Saccharomyces cerevisiae S288C: one gene and its partners. Changing the gene in region 2 together with the main gene of any one other region gives a genetic interaction. Each region holds a gene or a part of one and is shown on either strand. Other genes may lie near its edges.

Region 1 (3,140 bases), on a different chromosome or scaffold from region 2:
TAATCCCGTGATGTTTATGCAAGATAGCGAATTCATGTAGATCGCGCCATGCTGTCTTTGCTTTTGTTGGGACCATATTGATACTATATCTATGATTAGGATCTTTTCGTCCCCCGTAGTACAATTCACCAACTTTTGCAGCGCTACCGAAGGTTTAAAATCACTTTCAATGATGTGCAAGAACCCTAGTTTACTCTCCTGCTCTTCACTAATTAGGTTTCTTAATTCATTTGGTAGGTTTATATAGTTCTTGGTTGATGTGATGAAGTTTGACAAAGGATAAATTCTAATGTTCTTTAAAACTTCCATCCCATTCCATTCGCTACTTCCTTTCTCTTTTCCTAAGAATTTTCATTATTAGAAGGAGTAATGCTTACGGTACACATACATACACATATATATATATAAATATATATATATATAAGGACATATACAGATTTTTTTTTTTCGCGTACTAAAGTACAGAACAAAGAAAATAAGAAAAGAAGGCGATCATTGAACTACTGTGACTTGCCAATATGGTCTAAAAATTTGTCAATTTCACCTGAAGAACCCAACCAAATAGAAGATTTGTCATGGATATGACTTGGCACCAAATCCAAGATTCTCTCTCCGCGATCGTTGACCGCTTTTCCCCCTGCTTGTTCCATTAAGAAAGCCATTGGGAAGGCCTCATAAAGCAACCTCAGTTTTCCGTTGGGGCTCTTCTTGTCGCAAGGGTATGCGAAAAGGCCACCGTAAAGAAACGTCCTGTGAACATCAGCAACCATGGATCCAACATACCTAGCCGAGAAAGGCTTGTTGTTGTTGTCTGCTTGGGGTTGTTTGACTTTCTCAATAAATGTTCTTATAGTCTCGTTCCAGTAGAGGGTGTTACCTTCATTAATTGAGTAGATGGCCTTTTGAGGCGGAATTCTTAAGTTAGGATGAGTCAAGATGAATTCGCCCAAGTTTGTGTCTAAGGTAAACCCATCAACTCCATCACCCAATGTCAATACTAGATGCGTAGAGGATCCGTACATGGCATAGCAAGCGGCTACCATTTCTTTACCACATCTCAGTACGTCGTTTATAGTACCTGATGAGTCTGGTAGCAGTCTGAATATAGACGCGATAGTTCCAACGGAGACACCGGCGTCCAAATTTGAGGAGCCATCAATAGGATCACAACACACTGCGTATGAGCCCGTGTTTGTGGGAAAAACGATCAAGTCTTCCTGTTCTTCAGATACAAGGACCTTGATGATCCCACTAGCCCTCATGGCATTGATAAATATTTCATCACCTAGAACGTCCAACTTCTTTTGCTGGTCACCAGTGAAGTTGGAAGCGCCTGCTAACCCAACCAAGTTAACCAATTCAGCACGTCTGATGGTGTGAGATACAAATTTGAACGCGAATTGCAAGGCATTCAGTACTAATGTGAAATCACCAGTAGCGTTCTTAAATTGCTTCTGGTGCTCGATTATGAATCTAGGAAGAGTGATGATATCGGTATCAAACCCTTCGGTAGAGTCTCTTCTTGGTCCATTTACTAGAGTTGGCATATGTGTGGTAGTATGAGGGATGTTTCTTATATGTTCGCACTGTTATTCTTAGGCCTATCATACAAAAAGCAAGATCAAGACAAAATACACGTCTGTAATTGCACTACTTGTTGCTCCATATATATACGTACATTTGTTAGCGAGTGAAATGGATAATATTGCCTATACATAGGACGATCCTTATAATATAGTGTGGGGAAGATGCCACAAGTTGGCAAGCGACAGGAAGAAACCAAGCAAACCAAAAAAAAAGTAGTGGGTATTGGCCAGTTCGGCAATCTTCGCCTTCAAATTCCCTGTCTCAACTTTTTAAGCTTTCTTGATATGTGGGAATACCAGGCTATTGCTGCCTTGCGTTGGCTCTTACGCCCTTAACATTACCTAGCTTTACTACATAATGAGCTTTCGGGCCCGCATAACTCCGGGTGTCCGCACGACCGCGACTACTAAGAATAATAATAATACCCCGGAGGTGAATTCAAAAGCGGCGATTCCATCCGTCCGGAAAAGAGAGCAGAAGTTAGCCCGGGACCATGCAGTTTGATGGGTTGTCTATCTTAGACTGGAAAATTCGAAGAACTCATCCTTGTTAGCTCAGTTGGTAGAGCGTTCGGCTTTTAAGCGCATTTGCTTAAGCAAGGATACCGAAATGTCAGGGGTTCGAGCCCCCTATGAGGAGTTCTTTACTTTTTTTTTATCAACTTCCTTTGCTTCACGCCTATTATAAATTTAGATCGCGTATGATATTGTTAATCGGCGGTTAGAATTTATAAAAATCGACGATTTTCTAGGAATTATTTGCGCATACATATATATAGTTATTTAGCTCTATACAGGTGTAAGAAGGCGTTGATAAAACTATGGTAACAAAATAAAAAAATAGAGGGAGGGGTGTGGCTAAATGCGATTTTTTTTTTCTTTGGATATTATTTTCATTTTATATTCACATCAAATCAGAAAATCCTGGAACGAGGTTCTTAGTAAACCCACCTTCCTTGGCGGCAGCTTCGTAGTAGCCGTAGATGGTGGTAGTAGCCATCAAAATGGATGCCCCAGAACCTAAAGTACCTAGTAGGTCGGAGCCAACAGAAAGAGCACCGATGGTAGCACCGCCGAAAGCAGCAGCAGTTGGAATGATCTTCTTCAATTCTCTGTAAATGGAGGTTTCTCTCTTACCGTTAATGACCATGCCTTGATCTTTGAATTGTTTGGCAATGTCACGTGGGGAAGTGCCGGAGATTTCGATCCATGTCTTGGAAAATACTGCGCATGAACCAAGAACAAATGTGATGTAGACGATGGTCTTGATAGGGTCCAGAAGAGCTTCGGATAAAGACATTAATGGTTGGATGTAGTAGGCCAACCCGCTCAAGGCCATTTGAGGGCCCTGGGTGCCCGGCCTGATACCCCAAACACCGATCAAACGAATCAATGGATTGGTTGGGTATTTCTGGAAAAGGATTTGAGAGATCAAGAAAATGTTAGAAGTCAATGCACTCTGCAACATGATTGGGGTGTTGGAAGTATAAAAGAGTTTGATGGGGTAGATACCAATTTGACCTCTCACTTTGGTTGACCTGATGGGCAATTCGT
Region 2 (7,111 bases):
AGCAAGATTATATTATGGCTGTCCTCCAAACTTAAAGTATCCTGGTGGTGCAGGTTCCGGCGCCAAATATACATCAGTAGTCGTAACGAGATGGTATAGAGCACCTGAGTTGGTGCTTGGTGATAAACAGTATACAACAGCTGTTGATATATGGGGTGTCGGATGCGTTTTCGCAGAATTTTTTGAGAAAAAACCTATTTTACAGGGAAAAACGGATATTGATCAGGGACATGTTATTTTCAAACTACTTGGTACACCGACAGAAGAAGATTGGGCCGTGGCTAGATATTTGCCAGGTGCTGAACTAACAACAACTAATTACAAGCCAACGTTGAGGGAAAGATTTGGTAAATATCTAAGTGAAACAGGTCTAGATTTTTTAGGACAGTTGTTAGCGTTAGATCCTTACAAGAGGTTGACCGCTATGTCTGCTAAACACCATCCTTGGTTTAAAGAGGACCCTTTACCATCAGAGAAGATAACATTACCGACGGAAGAAAGTCATGAAGCTGATATTAAGAGGTACAAGGAAGAAATGCACCAATCATTGTCCCAAAGAGTACCTACTGCGCCAAGAGGTCATATAGTTGAAAAGGGTGAATCACCTGTCGTGAAAAATCTTGGGGCGATCCCAAGAGGCCCCAAGAAAGATGACGCAAGTTTTTTGCCTCCATCAAAGAACGTATTGGCTAAGCCGCCTCCTTCGAAAATAAGAGAACTACATCAAAATCCTAGACCGTATCATGTGAACAGCGGATATGCTAAAACTGCGATTCCACCGCCAGCAGCCCCTGCAGGAGTTAATAGATACGGACCCAACAATAGTTCCAGAAATAATCGCTTCAGCGGCAACAGCACTGCACCCAACAACAGCAGGAATCCCGTAAATCGATTTCATCCTGAGACAAATGTCAGCTCTAAATATAATAAAGTACCTTTGCCATTGGGGCCTCAGTCAAGATACCAGGGTAATTCAAATGAGTCCCGGTACAAAAACTCGCCAAATGACTCTAGATATCATAACCCTAGGTACGTGAACAAGCCGGAAACCAACTTCAATAGGCAACCACAGAAATATAGTCGCCAAGAATCCAATGCGCCAATCAATAAAAATTATAATCCTTCAAACGGTTCTCGCAATATGGCTGGTGATCATCATCAAGGCTCGAGACCTTCTCATCCACAATTCCCAATCTCGCCCTCACAGGGGCAGCATCAGCTTACGAGTAAACCAATAGAGAAAAAAAATGGAAGCTTTAAGGATGAAAGAGCGAAACCAGATGAGTCTAAGGAGTTCCAAAATAGTGATATTGCAGATCTATATTAGGTTATACTATTCTCTCTTCCTTTCTGGCCTCGTGGCTAATTACGGAAAGTTGTATACTGACTACTATGTAATCTATCACGTTTTGTCACTGTCTCGCTCTTTTCAAACAATCCATAAAATCGAAACTATTGTCAAAACGTCAGTACATCCTACCTGATAGGGACTGTACCAATGTCAACGTTCGAGTAAGTGATAATAAGGACCGCCTTACCCACCTTCAGGACACTCGGTTTTACACAAGCGTTATCCTGCGCGGATTTTCAATATGAAAACAACTAAGTTTTCCTGTAACATCATATATACCATTTAAAAGAGTGCCAAAAAACCGATAACGATTATTTTAAAGGCGTTTTATATAAGAGAAGAAGTAAAGAGAAAAAAGCGCTTACTAGAAATGGGGAGAAGGGTGCCAAAGAGATAAAAAAAACTCCCAGCTAAGTCACTGGTTCAACGTTCCAAATGGTATCGGAGTATTCCTCGATACAACGATCACTGCTAAAGAAGCCGACGTTTGCAACGCTCAGGACACTCTTTTTTAACCATTCTGACCTTTGATTGTGGAACTCCTGGTCCACTAATTCATGGGTGGCCAGATAGGATTCAAAGTCATCACTGACCAGGTAATAATCGCCGTGGTACTTAATACTGTCGACTAAAGGTTTGAATTCATTTGGATTTTCTGGAGAAAATTGTCCACTTTCAATGTAGGATAAAACAGAATCCAAACTAGATGGTAAATCTTGTGGATGGTATTGATGGTTGTATCTCAATTCTTCGACATTTTCACTTAGGTTACCAAACAAGAAGACATTATCTTCACCAATTTCCCTTGTGATTTCCACATTGGCACCATCAACAGTACCAATAATCAAACCACCGTTCATAACAAACTTCATATTAGAAGTACCAGACGCTTCAGTACCAGCAGTAGAAATATGCTCACTCAAGTCACTTGCTGGAATAATGATTTCAGCCTTAGAAACATTATAATCAGCAACAAAGACAACCTTCAACAAATGCTCAATTGACTCGTCGTTATTAACAATGTCAGCAACACAGTTGATCAATTTTATGATCAGCTTAGCCATGTAGTAACCAGGAGCACTCTTACCACCAAAGATTGAAACCTTGCGTGGATATTTCTTGGCAACTTCTTCGATCGAAGCACCGTTCTTCAGCATATTCTTCATTGCCAGGTAACGGTATATAATACCAAAGACGTTTAGCTGTTGACGCTTATATTCATGAATACGTTTAACTTGCATATCAAACAAGGTGTCGTCCAAATACTCTCTGTTAATGATGTCTACTCCATCATTTTCCTTTTTGATTAAATCTACTAATCTGATCTTATTATTAAGCTTGACTTGGTTCCATTTTTTCAAAAACTCCTTATCTTCAACATATTTTCCCAACTGGGTCAGTTTGGCCATGTCCAACAAATACTCCTCTGTTGGATCGTTAAGGGTTTCACTGATCAGTTTAGCCAATGAAGGGTTAGCTTGCTTCAACCATCTCCTTGGTGTGATACCGTTAGTGACATTGACAAACTTTGATGGACCATAGAACTTGACAAAATCTTTAAATATGGTCGTTTTGATTAATTCAGAGTGCAATTCAGCAACACCATTAACCTTGTGTGAACCAACAATAGCCAAAAAGGCCATTCTGATCTGTCTTTCTGGAGAGTTTTCTTCGATGATGGATATACGAGACAAAAGATCAACATCCTTGGGGAATTTTTTGGCCACATCTTGCAAGAAGAACCAGTTGATATCATATATAATTTCCAAATGTCTGGGTAGCAAATGGCCAAAGAGGCCGACGGGCCATTTTTCCAGGGCCTCTTGCATAACAGTGTGGTTAGTATAAGCAAAAGTCTTGGTCACGATGTCCCAAGCCTCGTGCCAATCTAGTTTTTCTAGATCGACCAAAACTCTCTGTAATTCAACGATGGCTAAAGTTGGATGAGTATCATTCAACTGAATAGCCACTTGGTCAGGAAATTCAGTCCATGGCCTCTTGGATTTTTTGAATCTTCTTAAGATGTCGTGTAAGGATGCAGCACACCAGAAGTACTGCTGTTTCAACCTCAACTCCTTACCTTGAGCAAAGTTATCGTTTGGATACAACACAGCGGTTATAGACTCTGCGCGTTGTTGCTGAGCCACAGAGTTTTTATAGTCACCATTATTGAATTTTGCAAAATCAAATTCTGTTGTTGGCCTTGCTTGCCATAGTCTTAAGTTATTTACATTGGAAGTCTTGAAACCCGGAACTGGGAAATCATACGCGACAGCAAGAACTCTTTCCCCACCGATCCATTGTGACGCACTCAGTGTAGTTTTACCGCCTTCTGGTCTATCAACATAACCATAAAAGGTGACAGGAATTTGCACTTCGTTACGTTCAATTTCCCATGGATTACCAGAATTTAACCAGTAATCTGGAGTTTCCACCTGGTAACCGTCAATAATCTTTTGAGCAAAGATACCATACTCATAACGTAGACCATAACCCCAGGCAGGGATGCCTTCCGTTGCCATTGAGTCGACGAAGCAAGCTGCAAGACGACCTAGACCACCATTACCTAAACCTGCGTCCGGTTCTTGGTCCAAGACATCCTCTAACTTGAAACCTAAATCATCCAAAGCCCCTTTAATCATTTCTCTTGGTTTTCCCTTTGAGGCAGCAGGGTCTTCCGGATCTTCAATCTTCATATTAATCAGGGCATTATCCAAAGCCCTACCCATCAAAAACTCCAAAGACAAATAGTAAACTCTCTTTGGGTCTCTTGTGGTGAATTTCTGCTGAGTTTTGTTCCAGTCAATGACCAAATTGTCACGAATACTCATCGAAGCAGCTTCATAAGCAGCCATGTCATCACAATTATATAGGGAACGTGCTAATGTAGTTTCCACATGGTCAATGAATCTATCTTGAAAATCTTCTGCCTTGTTAAATTTTTTGACTTGATGCTTATTCCATAACGCTCTTGACTTTAAAGGAATCATCGTGTCAATTGACTTGATTTCTTGGGGAAGAAACCCCGTAAGTCTCCTTGTAAGCCTTGGGATTTGGTGTGGAGAAGTAGGTTCTTCGGTTATCATATCATTGGTAGTACTAGTACTAGCTGGCGGCATTGTTCAAAATTAAATTAAGTTGAAAGCTGCTTTACTGAAATTGTAATGTAGAGAAGTCAAAAAAGATCCAATTGTTTTTCTTTTGGATATTTTTAGTAATCGTTACCTTCTCAATCTGTGCTTACTTTATATTACAATAGCAAGCAGAAAAAACTTATAATACTTCGTACGTAATCAAAACAAAAGGTACAACAAGAAACGGGAAGGCACAAAGAATCTTGCTTTACTGCTATACAAACTTCATGCTCCTTTTATACATATAATATATTCGTCGGTGTTCCTTCCTTATCTTTGTAGCATGCACATGGTAGTTATTAACCTCCCCTGAAACTTTTTTAGCGAAAATTATCCACCCCTTACTTATTTCCTCGAGAGTCTCTAAAAAGTAAAAATACAATAACGGTAATTGGGGAAGGCGTTCCTTGTTAATTCAAAATGTTATCCTTGAAACATAGAAGGTGCTGGCTGCATCTCGCAGAGCTTCCTCTTCCGTTGAGCGTTGTATTCTTCCCCCCACAGTGCTACTAGGCGATGCCGCTACCCCTTGAAGGGCCTTCCCGCTGTGGGGCAGCGGCCTTTTTTCCTTAGTGGGAAACAAGCACCGGGGTATATTTCATTGTCTATCAGGAGAAGAGATCGTATACAAATGTTCGTGAGACGGTTTCATCTTGACTAGTTGCCTTGCTAGTCGGATAACTAGTGGAAAGCAGTAGGACACTCCCGATGAGTTTGCGTTTCCACGGGGTTTGACAGAGCTACCTATTGTCTTTTTCATCGAAGGAAACGGTAGTTGGACCTTGCCTTGGATAAGTTGGTGAATCATCCAGAGCTTTAGAAGGGAGCAAAAAATAAAATCTGCGCAAGCCCGGAATCGAACCGGGGGCCCAACGATGGCAACGTTGGATTTTACCACTAAACCACTTGCGCTTGTTATTTACATGAGTGTGGTACTTCTATTGATGGTAGGTGTTCCATTACTTTTTTCGTCTTAAGATGAGCGAGCAAACACAGGGAGAAAATAAAGCGCAATTATTTACCTCATAGGGTACACAATATCCGTGAGAAAAGGATGAATTTGAAATAATTATACAGACTCCTTTTTTTTCAACGTAAAATTATAAGCATAGATTAGAGGCGCTCCTGGATAATAATAGGAACACACACAAGTAAATCAGCAATTTCTCATATCGTACTTATTCGGTAGAGTTAATAATATTCTACTAAAATAACTACTGGTAAGTAGTGAGAGCTTGATTTTTGTACTAATAACTTGTTTCAAAAAAAAAAACGAATAATCAGTTTTACAAAAATGTGTATACCTATATAAACAATCTTAGAGGTAAAGTTCTCCCTCACTAAAAATAATAAAAAATTACGTGCAGATGAGAACCCCGTCTTACCTTAGTATACCTTTAGTTCCCTTTATGACCCGATTTGAACGATAAGTCTTTTATATTTTATTTCTTCCTAAAAGAAAAATGTATGCATTGTAAGTAACTTTTTATGACCATGGTAATAATTAAAGCCGAGGGCTTGTAGATTTACCATCAAAATACCCGCTTAAGAGGATAACTTGAACTTCGAGCTAGTACATTTACCAGTTAGGATATTCTTAGGGAACGTGTAACCAGCATCTTCCCAAGTAGTTAAGTTTGCATTCTGGAATGCATTTAAGTGCGATTGAATATAATCATATGTTGGATAGTCACTTGGATCGCATGTCACGGATATAGCATTACTTGGTTGGTATATTCTAACATAGTCAATCGACATAACCACTGGGAAGAAAATATACTGCCAATCAATATAAGCCCAATTGTTGGAAATACCCAGATTTAGAATAATCGACATTGGTTCTTTACTGATTCTTCTCCAACCAATATTACCATCAGGATGTAAGGCTTTAGCATGAATAGTATAAGTTGGAGTATCACCAACAAACCAACGGATATAACCATTGTCGTCATCGTTCAGATACTCAATGGCATATTTTTGAAAGTAGCCACCGTACTCACCGAATTCATACCAAGTTACGTTCAAAGTTGAGACAGCAGATACGGCTTGTTGAAATGGACCGCCAGCATAAGTGTTCATGGTCGTTGTTGTGAAATTGTAAACCTCGATAAAATCATAGTCAGGCATGTACCAGATATCAAAAGGTGCAATTTGCAAGGATTGAGAGGCTATACCTACACCAATCTTAGTATCAGTTTCACCTTCCAAAACATCAATTTCTGGAGCTCCTCTACCAACACCTTGATTCGGATGATCTTCACCATCACAAGTACAAATACTTAACTTTTGTCCCGGCAAGTAAGAAATACCATCCGGGGAACTTTGGTTGGGTGTAATACCAGCATCACACGATTCATAAGAATAAGGCCAGACACCTTGGGTACTAGCCAAATAACCGGGCCTCCCTAAATTACCCATAGTCCAAAGACCGGGCCACAAACCTGAAACACGGCCATAATTTGGTAGATTTGCAGAGATTTCTAGAGCACCCTGCGTGAAACAAACCTTATTCCAACTCTGCAACATACCTGATCTGTAATATAAGCCATGGTTCTTAAAGGCATCCATTCTCAGCTGCAAGGTTCCGTTCACAGTTGTGGAAGCGTCTGGACTGTACCATTCTAAA
Region 3 (4,290 bases), on a different chromosome or scaffold from region 2:
AGTCTGGAATCTATCGTTCAGTTGCAAAATCTTGTCTCTGATATGTAGGTATTTGGCCATACGGTCAGCCTGCTTGGATCCTTCTTGGTCTATGTTTGCCATTATCTGTATGAATTCATTGAACTGCAATCGCAACGGCAGAATTTCATCGCGTGCTTCGTTGATCTGCTTACACACTTTGTCCCTGGTTTCATTCTCGTTCTTAGCCAATATCACTTGTAAATCATCTAGCTTGACGCCTGCCGGTATAATCGAGTCCATTCCGGTTGTCTTTACTGCTGTTGTGTCCGTTTTGCGCTGCCTAATTGAAGAAGTCTTGGTGACTGTTTCTGTTGTTCTCTTTAAAATTTCGCTCGGCGCCATACCGAAAATCCTCAGGAAAGTGTTAGTGTTATATATTATATTATATTATATCATATTATATTAAGTTTATTGTATACATAATGGTCATACATCAATAGTGTACATCCTCTCTTCGCTTGTCTCGCAAAAAATGTTCATCAGAAACTACTCCAATTCCAGTTTGCAGGCACAGAGCCGATAACACTGCCCAAAACATCATTACCTTCTTCTTGTTCTCCCCCCGTATTCTCATTATCTGCTTCTTCGTCGTTCGACTTCACCTGGATGGGCGTTGTTGTGTCTCGATCAACCGTGGCATGCTCTTGGGACGAACCGCCCTTCTTTGGTCTGAAAAGAGCGTTCATCTGCCTATTCTTGTAGTAATTGCGTAATTTCTTCCTATTGTCATTATCGTCATCTTCGCCCTCCTCAACGTTTATGTTATCCTCGTTCGTGTTTGCGTTATGGTTCGTGGTTGAAAGGTTCTCGTACTCGACCAGACAGTCATCGCATATTTTACAGAGAGTGCCACCGCCATTTATGCCACCGTTGTTTAGTTCGTTGATCATTATAAAATTTGCCTGCGAGTCCAGGTACAGCCAATGGCGCAAATGGTCTTGACAAAAGATGTCCCCGCAATGCCTGCAATGATGTTTCCTTTCCCACAGGGTAAAAGGCTTATGGCAGTAACGACAAGAATTCCTCTTACTGTCCGGAATCCAGTGGTCCTTAGTGGGCGGGTTTACTCTGGCAGAGTTTCTGTTTGAAATAGTTGGTATTAAGTTGATTCTGTCGCTGTTCGGAATAGAATTCGGGAACAAGTACGAGGATATTTTGTTTTTGTAGCTTTCCAAGATTGACGATGTGTTGGATTGTACGCTGGATTGAGAAGATATGATCCGTAGGTTGTTCGCATTCTGAACGCTAGCGGATTGCGACTTGCTTGGATTAAAGCCATGTTCCAGGTTAGATGCCTTCTTGTAGTAAGACGACAATGTTGCATTCAACAGATCGTCATTAGTTATGTTTGTCTCTGAAACTTTCCTCAGCACGGCGGGGATGTATAGCGGTTTTTTAGGGTTACTGATCTGTCTTACATTTGATTTATGTTTATTGGAATTAAAATTCAGATTAGTGCTCGAAGCAGGCTGCGGTAAAAATTCCAGCGAGGGTTTCCTTAGCATCTGCTGATGCGGCGGTTTCGCCGCATGATTCACCGAATCAATAATGACGTTCGTGTTGCCAAACCGCAGTTGGGACATCGAGCTAGAATTCGTTGTAGTCAGCTTGTCGACAATATTTTCCACCTTCGACGTCGACGATGACGACACTGAAGACGTGGACGAAGATGAAGACTCTTTCGCCTTGTTTTCTTTACTCAACCTCAAATTAGAACTAGCATTCATTTTGAACGACGACAACTTGCGTAACGCCTGCGTGGTTAGATTCTTTTGTCGAACCTCGTCATCGTCATCGGCATCATCTTCTAACTCATTGAACACAGTTTTGCTCTTTGTATTCTTGCCCCTGCTAACATCCACCACGCTATTGGTGGGATCTAGTTCAGGGTTCGATCTTTGGTCATCCGTGAATGGCAACGTCTTGCCGATCTCCTTACTAGCAGAAGCCTTCCTACCATCTATCTGCCCTTCACCGAGCTTGCTACTGTGGCTGCTGCGAACATTCTCCTCAGCAGAGTTCTTCCTCAATATGGACACCATCGCCGGAGATTGGATCTGCTGCTTTCTGTCAACAAACCCAGTGCCTGCCCCTGTTGAGCTCTCTTGCTGCAACTGCTGCTGACGATGTTGATTTACCATCGATTTCAATGAGATGCTGCTCAAAATACTCTGTTCGGAATGCGTTGACGCCCTGGGCGCTATCTTCTTCTTTTCAAACGTGATGGGAGATGTCACGGTGTCAGCACCGCTTTCCTCATCACCTTTCCTGCCACGGTAGTCATGGTTCCTTGGTCCCAGGGGAACTCCTCTGCCGTCTCGCTCATCACCGTCCTCCTCCTCTTCCTTGATCGCGGGCGTTTTGGACACACTATGCAACGCAGTCATTCTGGTCTCCACTACAACTGTGCTGCCCAGTCCTCCTCACTGGCGCTTCGTACCTATTCCAGGTCTCAATAGTCATATCATAAGCTTTCTTTTACTTCTCTTCGCCTCTGCTAAATGGTCACCATCGACGGTTGCTTTTTCGCGCTGGTCGAGAATTGACAAAATAAGACACGAACAAAAGAGCAAGTCTGAAAGAAAGAAAAGCAGCAAAAGCACGGTCTAATTCAACGTGACATAGCATCCGCAATCGCATTCACAGCCGTAAATCCTAACTACCATTCGTCATTATCACAGCTGCCATGGGATCCGACCGGTCGTGTGTTTTGTCTGTGTTTCAGACCATCCTCAAGCTCGTCATCTTCGTGGCGATTTTTGGGGCTGCCATATCATCACGTTTGTTTGCAGTCATCAAATTTGAGTCTATTATCCATGAATTCGACCCCTGGTTCAATTATAGGGCTACCAAATATCTCGTCAACAATTCGTTTTACAAGTTTTTGAACTGGTTTGACGACCGTACCTGGTACCCCCTCGGAAGGGTTACTGGAGGGACTTTATATCCTGGTTTGATGACGACTAGTGCGTTCATCTGGCACGCCCTGCGCAACTGGTTGGGCTTGCCCATTGACATCAGAAACGTTTGTGTGCTATTTGCGCCACTATTTTCTGGGGTCACCGCCTGGGCGACTTACGAATTTACGAAAGAGATTAAAGATGCCAGCGCTGGGCTTTTGGCTGCTGGTTTTATAGCCATTGTCCCCGGTTATATATCTAGATCAGTGGCGGGGTCCTACGATAATGAGGCCATTGCCATTACACTATTAATGGTCACTTTCATGTTTTGGATTAAGGCCCAAAAGACTGGCTCTATCATGCACGCAACGTGTGCAGCTTTATTCTACTTCTACATGGTGTCGGCTTGGGGTGGATACGTGTTCATCACCAACTTGATCCCACTCCATGTCTTTTTGCTGATTTTGATGGGCAGATATTCGTCCAAACTGTATTCTGCCTACACCACTTGGTACGCTATTGGAACTGTTGCATCCATGCAGATCCCATTTGTCGGTTTCCTACCTATCAGGTCTAACGACCACATGGCCGCATTGGGTGTTTTCGGTTTGATTCAGATTGTCGCCTTCGGTGACTTCGTGAAGGGCCAAATCAGCACAGCTAAGTTTAAAGTCATCATGATGGTTTCTCTGTTTTTGATCTTGGTCCTTGGTGTGGTCGGACTTTCTGCCTTGACCTATATGGGGTTGATTGCCCCTTGGACTGGTAGATTTTATTCGTTATGGGATACCAACTACGCAAAGATCCACATTCCTATCATTGCCTCCGTTTCCGAACATCAACCCGTTTCGTGGCCCGCTTTCTTCTTTGATACCCACTTTTTGATCTGGCTATTCCCCGCCGGTGTATTCCTACTATTCCTCGACTTGAAAGACGAGCACGTTTTTGTCATCGCTTACTCCGTTCTGTGTTCGTACTTTGCCGGTGTTATGGTTAGATTGATGTTGACTTTGACACCAGTCATCTGTGTGTCCGCCGCCGTCGCATTGTCCAAGATATTTGACATCTACCTGGATTTCAAGACAAGTGACCGCAAATACGCCATCAAACCTGCGGCACTACTGGCCAAATTGATTGTTTCCGGATCATTCATCTTTTATTTGTATCTTTTCGTCTTCCATTCTACTTGGGTAACAAGAACTGCATACTCTTCTCCTTCTGTTGTTTTGCCATCACAAACCCCAGATGGTAAATTGGCGTTGATCGACGACTTCAGGGAAGCGTACTATTGGTTAAGAATGAACTCTGATGAGGACAGTAAGGTTGCAGCGTGGTGGGATTACGGTTACCAAATTGGTGGCATGGCAGA
Region 4 (4,700 bases), on a different chromosome or scaffold from region 2:
GGAATCAATTTGTAAAGTTCTAAAAAAAAATTTAAAGGCGGCTATTGAAAATGAAATACGTTGTTGTTTCTGGTGGTGTTATCTCAGGTATTGGTAAGGGTGTTTTAGCGTCCTCTACAGGGATGCTACTGAAAACCCTCGGCCTAAAGGTTACTTCCATCAAGATTGACCCATATATGAATATTGACGCCGGGACGATGTCTCCCTTGGAACATGGTGAGTGTTTTGTACTTGATGATGGTGGGGAAACGGACTTGGATCTCGGTAATTACGAGCGGTACCTCGGTATTACCTTAAGCAGGGACCACAACATCACCACCGGTAAGATATACTCCCACGTAATTTCCAGAGAAAGGAGAGGTGATTATTTAGGTAAGACAGTTCAAATTGTTCCTCATTTGACTAACGCAATTCAGGATTGGATTCAACGTGTTTCAAAAATTCCAGTGGATGACACAGGATTAGAACCAGACGTCTGTATCATCGAGTTAGGTGGTACGGTCGGTGACATTGAGAGTGCGCCCTTCGTGGAAGCATTACGACAATTTCAGTTCGAAGTTGGAAGAGAGAATTTCGCCCTGATCCATGTTTCACTTGTGCCCGTCATTCATGGTGAACAGAAGACGAAACCCACCCAAGCAGCAATCAAAGATTTAAGGTCATTAGGGCTTATTCCCGATATGATTGCCTGCAGATGCAGCGAAGAACTTAACAGGAGCACTATTGACAAGATTGCCATGTTTTGCCATGTGGGGCCGGAGCAAGTGGTCAACGTTCATGATGTTAACTCCACGTACCACGTTCCCTTATTGCTGCTAAAGCAACATATGATCGACTACCTCCATTCAAGGTTGAAATTAGGTGAAGTGCCTCTAACCTTGGAAGACAAGGAAAGAGGGTCTCAATTATTGACTAACTGGGAAAACATGACCAAAAACCTAGATGATTCTGATGATGTTGTCAAGATTGCTCTTGTGGGAAAATACACTAATTTGAAGGATTCCTACCTATCTGTGACCAAATCCTTAGAACACGCAAGCATGAAGTGCCGTCGTCAGCTAGAAATCCTCTGGGTAGAGGCAAGTAACCTAGAGCCCGAAACTCAAGAGGTGGACAAGAACAAGTTCCACGATTCATGGAATAAGCTCAGTTCCGCCGACGGAATTTTGGTTCCTGGTGGATTTGGCACGAGAGGTATTGAAGGTATGATTCTTGCTGCCAAATGGGCCCGTGAATCCGGTGTTCCCTTTCTTGGTGTCTGTCTTGGATTACAAGTTGCCGCTATCGAGTTCGCCCGCAATGTGATAGGCCGCCCAAACAGCAGTTCTACAGAATTTTTGGACGAGACACTACTAGCTCCTGAAGACCAAGTAGTCATATACATGCCCGAGATCGACAAGGAACACATGGGTGGCACGATGAGATTGGGTTTGAGGCCTACCATTTTCCAACCGAACTCAGAATGGAGCAACATAAGGAAGCTTTATGGTGAAGTTAATGAGGTGCATGAGAGACATCGTCATCGCTATGAGATAAACCCGAAAATAGTGAATGATATGGAGTCTCGTGGCTTTATTTTTGTTGGTAAGGACGAGACGGGCCAGCGTTGCGAAATATTCGAATTGAAAGGCCATCCATACTACGTGGGCACTCAATACCATCCAGAGTATACATCGAAGGTGCTGGAACCATCAAGACCGTTTTGGGGGCTTGTGGCCGCAGCCTCCGGCACACTTGGTGAAGTGATCAAGGACATAAATCTAAGCGAGGGAAATGAAAATGAATGAATTGATGCGCTTACTACTTACTTACATACGGTTTTTATTCAAGTATATTATCATTAACATTAGTTGGTTAGACCAATGACACCACAGGCTGGTCTTGGACCGGCATTACCAGTCTTCAAAGATTCTTCAGTGTCACCCTTACCTAAGTCATCTTGGCCGGCGTGGATAACGACGCTTCTGCCTACAACGGAGGTAGGACCGATAAGCTTGATCAAAGAGTCCTTGAAGGAGCCCTTGGCCACACCATTTTCGTCCGTCTTTACGTTACCCATGTCACCGACATGTCTGACTTCGTCAGTTGGAGCACCATGTGTCTTCTTGAAAGGATTGAAGTGAGGACCAGCAGAGACACAACCATTGGTGGCATCTCCAAACTCATGAATGTGGAACCCACGTTCTGCGTTAGGACTGTTACCAGCGATCTCGTAAGAGACAGTGGTTGGCTCGGATTCGGAAGCCTGTTCGAACTTGACAACACCAGAGACACCGGCATCACCCTTTAACACTGCGACTGCTTGAACCATTATAAATTAATTATGTTTTATTTGTTTGCGCGATTGCTTTCTTGCCTGTTTTTCCGCAACATAGTTACAGCTAAACATTTGCCCAAAACCATCTTCTTATATATATATCTGCGATGGCGAGCCCAGCGGAAGGGATGTCCGCTTACTAATTCCGACACACCGGTTTAACCCCCCGGCGTGCTGGGGTGGGTGCCCCTAAGGGAGCGGGTTCTGTACTTCCAGTAAGCGGCATTTGCGCTGTCATCGCCTTATCGAACCCGCTACTGAGATCATGTCCTGAGTGGGTGAGTCGCACGCCCAATCGGCTGCACTTCAGAGATACTTACGTCCAATTTCGCATCATGCCAATATTACCTGTGGAAGTTGAAACTTTTTTTGCAGATGCCGATAATTTTCACATGGATGAGTCGCAGTGTCGTCGTACGTGATGAGGGCAGGCTTGAAAATTATTCTTCGAGCCCAATTCTCTTTACTTATAGGCATGCCATGTCTAATTAGGTAGTCATCTCAGTTTATCTTGTGCAGGGTAGAACCAAAGATAACAGCAAAAGAAAGAGCAAGCAATTATGACCGCACCATTGGTAGTATTGGGTAACCCACTTTTAGATTTCCAAGCCGACGTCACGGCTGAATACCTGGCCAAGTATTCTCTAAAGGAAAACGACGCAATTTTGGTCGATGCCAAATCAGGCGATGCTAAGATGGCTATTTTTGACGAGCTCTTACAGATGCCAGAAACAAAGCTTGTTGCAGGTGGTGCTGCTCAAAACACTGCTAGAGGGGCAGCATACGTTTTGGGCGCCGGCCAGGTGGTGTACTTCGGTTCCGTCGGTAAGGACAAGTTCAGCGAGAGATTGCTTAACGAAAACGAAAAAGCTGGTGTCAAGTCTATGTACCAAGTTCAAAATGATATTGGTACCGGTAAGTGTGCCGCATTAATCACTGGCCATAACCGGTCCTTGGTCACTGACTTGGGTGCTGCCAATTTCTTTACTCCAGACCACTTGGACAAGCATTGGGACTTGGTCGAAGCAGCTAAGCTCTTCTACATCGGTGGTTTCCACTTGACCGTGTCTCCAGACGCTATCGTTAAGTTGGGCCAACATGCTAAAGAGAACAGCAAACCTTTCGTGTTGAACTTTAGTGCTCCTTTCATTCCTCATGTCTTCAAAGACGCATTGGCCAGAGTTTTGCCTTATGCTACCGTCATCATCGCTAACGAATCGGAGGCCGAAGCCTTTTGCGACGCCTTCCAATTAGACTGTGCCAACACTGATTTGGAAGCTATTGCTCAAAGAATTGTCAAGGACTCTCCAGTTGAAAAGACTGTCATCTTCACCCACGGTGTCGAACCAACAGTGGTCGTGTCCTCCAAGGGTACCAGCACATATCCAGTCAAACCTTTGGACTCTTCTAAGATCGTCGACACCAACGGTGCTGGTGACGCCTTCGCTGGTGGCTTTATGGCTGGGTTGACTAAAGGTGAAGATTTGGAAACCTCTATTGACATGGGTCAATGGCTAGCTGCTTTGTCTATTCAAGAAGTTGGTCCCTCTTACCCTTCCGAAAAAATATCTTACTCTAAATAGATTCTTCTTACAATATAATAGAAATAAAATATACTCTACGTGTTCCCTCTAGCTTTTCATTCGTAGACATGTTTACCGCTTGTTCTTAAACCAAATAAGCCACCGTTACCACAATAAGGAAAAGAGGCGCTATAAAGTACAGCTTCAAGAAAAAAGGACAAGCAGCGCTAAGAACAAAATACTCGTTCATCCTCTCCACATACGGCCGTACACAAGCAACAATAACACAATAATATGGACTGGGCAATCAATGTCGCCCATCCACGATTACTTTACAAGGATCCTAAACTTTCAGTAACGTTTATTGTGCCGAGCTTATTTCATATCATTATTGCTTTCGTGTTATTAGGAATATGTGCATCCGATTTTCTTTGCCCCAACGTGGCCCATATATCAGATCCCAACAGCCTTCGATCGAATGGTTCTTTAGTCTCAAAAACGGCGTCCCATGCATCTCATACTGGGGCATTAATGGCAGTTCTACTATCTTGGTGTAACTCTTCGCCTGACCTATTTTCCAACTTAATGAGCTGGGCAACCTCTACGAGAGAAACAAGGTCAACCTCAGTATCGCTATCAATTGGTGAGGTGCTTGGCGCTTGCGGCATTATCCTGTGCATTGTAGAGGGCTCCATTTTTATTATTATGTCAAGAACTCACATTGAAATCTCGCAAATTCAAAAACTATCCATCATGAGAGACTTGTTATTTTCTTTAGCTGCCATGTGCGTAATGAGTTACGTTTCCCTTATGAATCAGGTCACTGTGCTGAATTGCCTTTTGATGGCGTTCCTTTATGC

Evidence for each region.
Region 1: mutations in GPH1 (region 2) and FBP1 together harm fitness more than expected from each alone (negative genetic interaction), as found in Saccharomyces cerevisiae (2 studies listed by BioGRID).
Region 3: of GPH1 (region 2) and PIB2, extra expression of one is lethal in a mutant of the other (dosage lethality), as found in Saccharomyces cerevisiae (2 studies listed by BioGRID, with this or other methods).
Region 4: of GPH1 (region 2) and SOD1, extra expression of one rescues a mutant of the other (dosage rescue), as found in Saccharomyces cerevisiae (one study listed by BioGRID).

What each region holds. Positions count from the first base shown.
Region 1 is NC_001144.5:873,246-876,385, forward strand, and holds FBP1 (fructose 1,6-bisphosphate 1-phosphatase), read right to left. Parts: upstream 1,548-3,140; coding exon 501-1,547; downstream 1-500. Other genes in the region: PSY3 (Psy3p), read right to left, coding at 1-309; translocon subunit SEC61, read right to left, coding at 2,491-3,140.
Region 2 is NC_001148.4:858,665-865,775, reverse strand, and holds GPH1 (glycogen phosphorylase), read right to left. Parts: upstream 4,471-7,111; coding exon 1,762-4,470; downstream 1-1,761. Other genes in the region: cyclin-dependent serine/threonine protein kinase SGV1, read left to right, coding at 1-1,327; YPR159C-A (uncharacterized protein), read left to right, coding at 5,361-5,462; beta-glucan synthesis-associated protein KRE6, read right to left, coding at 6,031-7,111. UniProt on the Saccharomyces cerevisiae protein: Phosphorylase is an important allosteric enzyme in carbohydrate metabolism. Enzymes from different sources differ in their regulatory mechanisms and in their natural substrates. However, all known phosphorylases share catalytic and structural properties.
Region 3 is NC_001139.9:449,697-453,986, forward strand, and holds PIB2 (Pib2p), read right to left. Parts: upstream 2,409-4,290; coding exon 501-2,408; downstream 1-500. Other genes in the region: PGD1 (Pgd1p), read right to left, coding at 1-261; dolichyl-diphosphooligosaccharide--protein glycosyltransferase subunit STT3, read left to right, coding at 2,708-4,290. UniProt on the Saccharomyces cerevisiae protein: Functions as an intracellular glutamine sensor that directly activates the TORC1 signaling pathway, to promote cell growth when glutamine is available. May play a role in repressing NPR1 activity independently of TORC1 signaling.
Region 4 is NC_001142.9:620,704-625,403, forward strand, and holds SOD1 (superoxide dismutase SOD1), read right to left. Parts: upstream 2,312-4,700; coding exon 1,847-2,311; downstream 1-1,846. Other genes in the region: CTP synthase URA8, read left to right, coding at 51-1,787; ADO1 (adenosine kinase), read left to right, coding at 2,878-3,900; ECM27 (Ecm27p), read left to right, coding at 4,135-4,700. UniProt on the Saccharomyces cerevisiae protein: Destroys radicals which are normally produced within the cells and which are toxic to biological systems.